Linked DNA regions of Schizosaccharomyces pombe. The gene in region 1 interacts genetically with each later gene. Each region holds a gene or a part of one and is shown on either strand. Other genes may lie near its edges.

Evidence for each region.
Region 2: of mis20 (region 1) and scm3, a mutation in one rescues a mutant of the other (synthetic rescue), as found in Schizosaccharomyces pombe (one study listed by BioGRID).

The regions. Positions count from the first base shown.
Region 1 is NC_003423.3:3,208,068-3,211,800, forward strand, and holds mis20 (protein Mis20), read left to right. Parts: upstream 1-1,818; 5' UTR 1,819-1,954; coding exon 1,955-2,716; 3' UTR 2,717-3,096; downstream 3,097-3,733. Other genes in the region: kgd2 (dihydrolipoyllysine-residue succinyltransferase), read right to left, coding at 28-99, 392-512; rRNA processing protein Rrp7, read left to right, coding at 3,286-3,634, 3,683-3,733.
Region 2 is NC_003424.3:1,859,986-1,863,773, forward strand, and holds scm3 (CENP-A histone chaperone Scm3), read left to right. Parts: upstream 1-1,821; 5' UTR 1,822-1,948; coding exon 1,949-2,959; 3' UTR 2,960-3,147; downstream 3,148-3,788. Other genes in the region: cell surface adhesion protein for conjugation Mam3, read right to left, coding at 1-156; mRNA export receptor Nxt1, read left to right, coding at 3,378-3,396, 3,449-3,777. UniProt on the Schizosaccharomyces pombe protein: Centromeric protein that plays a central role in the incorporation and maintenance of histone H3-like variant CENPA at centromeres.

The DNA.
Region 1 (3,733 bases):
AAATCTTTTTTTTATGAATCAACTTACGTTTTAACCATTGTGCGAGGGTACCTTCCGTAATAGATTCAGGAAACGGAGGCGTTTTAATGCGTGTACTGGCTAAAAATATAGTTAATGATTTTTGAAATTGAAACAACATAAGAAAAAGTAAATCCCGAAGATACTGAGTGAAAGGAAGAAAACATAGTTGAGAATTCCTATTCATGTGTGAATATGACCTTGTGAAGAATTATTTAATTATTTTGAAATCAACAGCGTCCACTTGATTCAAAATAAAGTTTAAGACAGATGCACTTAGCAAAAGTTGATTCTTATGAGCAAGTTGAGTACTAACATATATATCCCGTCTCCTTTAACAAACAATATCTACATCATGATCAACAACACATACCATAACGGGCCCAAAGGACGTTGGCCATGGATTTAGACACTGGAGCAGTGACTGAATATCCTGAACGTAGAGATAAAAGACATTTCGCCATCATGCGAAAGCCATTGCCGTAAGAAGTCATTATGATGGTTTTTCCGTAACAAGTAATTTACTTCAATCTTGAATAAAGACAGCACAAGAAAAAACAAGAAGAATGTACGAAAGCCAAATCAACTAACAGTGGCTTGCTTATTTTGTATTATTGCTAGAGGGGGTTGTTGTATGTGGTAGAAGGTAAATATGCTACACCCTTATAAACACTGTAATATATTATATGGAGTATGAGTGCACGGTAGTGCTTTGAACCTGTAGAATCCTATTCGGTGTGTGAAACCAGTATGACCTATGGTAGGCCATTTATAAAACCTTATTAGGAAATGTAGCTGGGGGTAGTAAAGAGATTTGATGAGAGTCACTGTATTTCGTTAAACATTGTTTAGAAAGGATTTGGAATAATAAAGGTTTGCTACAATACACTAAATTGTAATAGTGTGATGTAAAGACAGCAAAAATGATAAACTATTAAGGATCAATATATGAAGTTGTTTTAAAGTTGAATTCAAAAAAATATTTATCAATTTCGGTTTTCTCCTTTTTTTACATTGACATTTTGCAGATATCCAAAAGAATAAAAATAGTATTGAAAGGTGTGGGACTCGAACCCACGAGCTTTCGCACTAGTGCCTTAAACTAGCTCCATAACCACTCGGACAACCTTCCTAGTTGTACGGTTCTATCCATAGACGAATATATACAGTAAAAATAAAAAATATTTGAGCTGTTATTCATACGAATGAATTATTATTATGAATTAATACCTCATATATACATTTGATATTGAACATTGTAATTAGTTTCAAAGGCATATGACTTTTTGGGTCACTGCCGGAACAATATCAGTCGTAAGGAAATGCATTGCTTGCCCGCACACGAGCATTAATGAATGTTTCCGCTAATTTGCAAGATATTCGCTCTGAACTTACAGAATGAATAAGTATGGTTTAGAATTAGAAATCACATTGGTTTCGCAGCTTGAGAGAAATGTTTGTTTTACATTGTAAATAGTAAGCTTATTTGTCGCGCGTTTATTGGTATTGCTATTTCTATATATAGAAAAAAAAAACATTTTCCTAATACTTCATCTCATCTAGCTCTAATATATCGAAAATTCCTAGAAACCCTTTTTTTGCGATCAAAACATTCAATTAAGCTACATAAGTTGTATTCTACAAAATGTCAGCGGTTCGCTGTATCAAATAAATAGTATATATAAACTCTATACCTCTTTTGTCTTTATCATCCCTTTAATCAATTCCTAGGTTTTTCATTGAAGACATTTTTTGCAAGCACCTACAGTATATATATCGTTGATTTTATTTACCTTCTTCACTAACCAATTTTCTTGAGCCTTAACACCTAAATGAAGCAATTATTGAAAAGTTGGATTTATCCAAATCTCAAAACTTTGTTAAACTTCATTTTAACCTAAAGTCATATCTTTAAAAAGATAAATCGCATGGCAAAATGTTGGAACAAAGTGAATCGCACGCGTTCATAAATAATGCACCAAAAGAAGATCGAATCCAAGTGAAATTTGAACAATTATTTGAATCTCTTCCTTTGCCATTGCGAGCTGAAGAAGCATTGAGTAAACTAAGACATGATTCTGCAAGATTGATGATATTAAAAACTTCAGATCCTACGTTAAATATGTCGACTTATAGTATAGAGGATTCTCCGATGGGCTTTGAATGCTTAAAATATAATTTAAGTGACAATAATAAATTACTTTCACAAAATAATTACCGATTACCAGACTATTTAGAAGAGGATGAAATAGTCAGCTATACTTTTTCAAAAACCGGTCCCACTACTTCAAAAAACAAGCATCCATCACATTCTAATACAATTAGATCACCTCCTTACAAAGTGAAAAAAGAATCATGTCATACAGAAATCAACAACGTGTCTAATGTTTCTACGGAAAGTATCAACGTTATTGATGCATCGAGGGGTTACTCGCCTTACACATCAGTGGATTCTCTTTCTGTGAGTAAAAACCGTTCTTTCATATCTCTTGAAGAATCAGCAAGTAACCAATATGATGCTGCAGAAGCTTTTTATTTTAATGCAGACTCATCCTCACCGTTGAGAAAACTTAGCCCTATAGAGCTTCCTGTGACTCCAATAAGACGCAAAACCCCTACAATTAACCCAAACTCAGAACTTAAAAGACTTCAAACTTTTGGAAAACTGATTTTGCATAAGGGAAGTCGTAGAAGGTAGTGAGTCCAATCGAACAAGAAGTATACAATAACGTTTCTTTGTTATTACGAAAAATTTTGAATGACCATTTTATAATGCAAAAAGTTACCTTAAGCGTGTGCAGTAATTTATTCAAATATCAATAATCCTTTTAAATGACTATACCGAGCACTATACTTTGTATGAGTAGGCTATAAGGATCTTTTTTAAAAACGTTTATCTTGGTTAGGAACACTAAATGCAATTAGCAACCACGCATATCAATATAGCTGTATTTTTTTATTAATTTACAATCCAACACCTCTAGCTCCCAATTCAATTATTACATTGCTTTTTGGAGCTTTTATTTAGCAGCAAATAAATTACAAGTTGTATAATTACATTTTTTTTTTAATCCTAGAAAATAAGCAAATCTTAGTTTAATTTTCGCTTATTCTAACATTCTTAATGTATATTGTATATAATAATAATTATAGTCACAACGAGATGAAGTATGCGAAGGTATAAGAGTATACAGCTCCTATGGTCTTGCCCTCGGTCAAGCTCAGTAACAAATTGCATTTTACCCAAGAACCAAACAACTCATATAAATGGACAAGCTCAAAGAAAAAGGGTTTGTTAAACTAGAAATTTATTTGGAAAATAAAAAGAGGTTGCATAGTATATTTTTGAAAGAAGACACGGAAGATGTTGAAAAGAAGTCACTGTATTTGATTAATGTTCCTATCACAACTACTGAAAAGATTTTGAAAAGAGCAATTTCTCAATTGGGCGGTCGTATCGTTAATATCTATCCTAATATTAGTGGCCTTTTGAAAAGTGGCACCCATTTACGCGTCAAATTAGTCGAGCCCGCTGAAGTTAAACAAGTTATCAAGGCAGCTTCTAAAAAGACGACCTCGCTTCCTTGGAAGTTCACACAGCATACTGGTTTGAAACGTAAGAACATGGTCATTATTTTTTTGGAAATACTAATGTGTTTAATAGGTTATGTAGAAAGTTATGATAGACAGTTTGTCAATCCACGTGTTCTAGCCG
Region 2 (3,788 bases), on another chromosome or scaffold:
GCCAACTTCGAGAGGGCTTGATTGGCAAGATTCTAAATTAGAAGATGAAATTAAACCTACTGACCGACTGACGTTAAAAGTGTCATCAAGTGCAGATGGGGATGCCCAGGAAAATCCTAGCAAAACGAGAATAAAGAAAGCCAAAGCAATCGACATGACGAATTATGGGAAGATCAAGCGATAAAAGAAAAATTATAATTAATAATGTTTTTCAAAGAAGAAGAAAAGAAAGTATTAAAAAGAAGCAAGACTCAAATCAAAAGATAGATAAAAAATTGAGAAATGCGATGCAATGCAATGAGAAGTTATTTCAAAATTCTACTAGTCTGAAAAAAACTAAAAAATGAAAAAGCAAAAGAGTGTCAAAAGGTAATGAGGAATAAGTAGACGAGCGAATGGCAAAATCAGAGAGGTTTCAAAAAAATCGAGTTAAGTGATCAAAATTCCTTGCTGAACCTATTTGTCAATTGCAATACTAGTACTAAAACAAAGTCTTCGTCGTTCCCTTCTTTTTTTTCTGATTGCAGTTTCTTATTCAGCTTGCTTTACGAAACCTTCAAATGTAATGACAAATATGGAGCTCTATGCGGTTTTTTATACTTAGGATCCATGGTGAAGGAATACAAAGAAATTCGAGTATTTGAACTATACAATGCTCAAACAATGGTGTAGTGTTTTAAAGAAAGTGCAATTATGGAGTAGTTGAAAGAGTTGCGCTGTACTCAACTTCCTTTGTTTCATCGGCATGCTGTGCTATTCAGGTAACGGGTACGTTTATTGTTGGAGGGGAATGAGTAATTCCTATTGTCATATTCCATATGGTGTAGTAATTCTTTTCATGTGAATGCTTCGGTAAAGAAATTGTTCAAAACAAGCATACCGTAAGAAACTGAAACATGAAACGACTCGGTTTTGCTTCAAGTTATAGAAGACTGTGTTCATGAGACTAAGTCACAAAGAGCCAAAAATAGTTTATTTTACAATACGTTCCCTATCGTGTCCAAATTGTTCTGTCGTTTTGTTTAACATTTCTATTGTTCTCGCTATTGTCTGTTTCACTTGGCACTTAGTAAGAATGCAAACAATGCCGAGATCAATTCATCCTTTGTTCTAATTATTTAGCGATGATTTCTCCAATTCTATGTTGTAATGGAATTGATAATAGTTACTAGTTGGTACAATAGACACTTTCTAAAAGAATTCTATTGAGGAGCTGCGCTACGTATCCTCATATTTACATGAATGAACAATCAAAATATGGCTAAACTTGTCGAACAGAACGCTTTCAACTAATACGAATTATTTGTGAAAGAAAGCCAAAGAATCGTCACGCTTCTTTGGGGCGATGTGACAAATGGAATGCTCAACTTATGGGATTTTTTTATTAAATTGTGCAAATGATGCAAAGTAATATTCACCAAAACGAGTATCCTTATTTTCTTTATTTTAGGTATCGTTGATTTCTCATTTTATCATTAAAAAAGTAATGTGGAATTGCTATGTTCGTTGGAATCCACAAGGTATCGCAGCGTTCGTTATTATTACAAAATTGTATGTCTATTAATTTTATGTATTTTAGAAATTCTTAAACAGTATAGAATTAGTGCAAGAACAGATAAATCAGTCTTTTGGAGCAATGAGTTAATTTACAAGCGTTAAGCGACCATCATTGAAATTACACTTTTGCATAAACTATTCAAAAGAACTTTTCATTATCTTTTTTTTTTGATCTCTAAGTTCTAACAGAAATTAAATCTAAAAGTCATTCGTGAATTAGTTACGAAACTCTAATACAAGTCTACAGTTATGGCACCGTTCACTAATAAACCACTACTGAAATCGCTTTCCTACTAATAACTGAAAATCTCCAATTTTTGCCTTAAGAAATTTATTGGAAAGGATTTTTTGAACAAAATTTCTCAATACCAAATGATTTTAACTTTCAATCATGTGCAATCGTCAACCGAAAGCCGTTGACCTGCCTCCAAACTATTCTTGTCCACATCTGTTGTCTTTTCAGTCTGTCGAATTTAATACTAATCCTACGGCTTGTGATGATGTGTTTTGTAAAAGAATTGAGTCCGAAAAGAAGTACAACGACTTTTTGGAATCTCTTTTCAAAAAATATGGACGCGACACTTCTGATATAGCTGATGAAGTAGATCTTGCAACTGGTGAAATTATTGTTAATAATGGACATCTAGAAGCTTTAAAAACAAAAGATGATATATGGGATCCTACATTTAACAACCTTGAAATCTCAGCGTCAAATGGATACGAAAAAAAATTAGACTCAAGCATTGGCAACCCAGGGGAAAAAGCTGTTTCACCAGTCCATATAGAGGATTTTCAGTCTCCCCAGATCTATAAATTTAAAAATCTATCACTTCGTGATGAAATGGTGTCAGATTGTGTGTTTGCAGATGAAGTTCCTTTAGCTTCACTTTTTGTGGAAAATGTTTGTAATGAAACTATACCCTCTCAGTCATGCGTGAGACTAAAAATCAATGATAAAACAAGAAAAGTTGATGCTTCAGCTTTGGAAAAAAAATCTTGTCTGTTGCCAAACTCATCAGGAACATTAACAGATCAGCGTGGTTTGGATACAATCAAGCATAAAAGCATAGAACAAAATGAGATTTTGCACGTCATCTCTGATACTTTATCTTCACCGAGAAGAAGGAACCCTTTATTATCATCTCCTAAAACTCCTTTACGTAGATCTTTTTCTAAGTCAAAAGTCCGAAACTCCAATTCTACAAAACGAAGAAACTTTATTTCATTAATTTCAATGATATCCCCTCGACCTAATCTTTCTACCCATCATTTTAATCTTGGTTTTCAACCTTTAAGTCAACAAACTTCGTTCTCAGGAAGTAGCACTCAGAACCCTCATTCTTCCAGCACTTGTAAAAAAGCATTTTGTTTCCAATGCATTTCTGAGTCAAAAAAATGTTGATTCAGCTTTAAACCACTTATTCTCCCATCTTCTTCGCTTGCCATACCATGGCTTTTAATGACCTATTTCTTCGAACATATATTTATTTTTTGTTTTCATTTACAACAAATTGTCTTTCGAGTTATCATGTTACATTCGAATATATATTTTTTTACTAATATATTAATCATTCGTTGAGTTTTTACGTGATCTATGCTTTTGTAGTATGGCAAATGAGTACACATAATTGTTCTCCACTCTTCATGTTATAAGTAAAAATCGTAGTCATAAAGATATCTAGCCGAAATATCCATTCAGTGTGTTGAACAAAGATTATCTTTAAATATCGCTTAATGAGTACAATATTTCAATTTATAACACATGTACCTGTTTAAATGACTACTTACACCACTACAAATTTCTGTCATTGTGAATCATTATGGAGTCGAGTGTAAAATGTATGTTAAATGCCGCATTACTAAAGCTTTATCTATAAACTAACAATTAAAGATGCGCAGGAGTTCGTCCAACGGTATTACTCATCTCTTGATACGAACAGAAATGGGATCGCAGAATTTTACAGAGAAAATAGTTTGATCTTATGGAATGGAAAACCCATGCAAGTAACCGAATTTACCTCTATGATAGTTAATCTTCCATACTCCAAAACTAAAGTTGAGGATTTCGATAGTCAACAGGTCATGGGTAATGATATGAATATCATAATTGTTGTTTCAGGAACAATACGTTTCGATGGAAAAAAACCTCATGTATTTTCGTATGTCAGTTTTTATTGTATTTACCTTCTTGTACTAAGATCCTCTACTAACTTCCTTTAAGAGACAATATA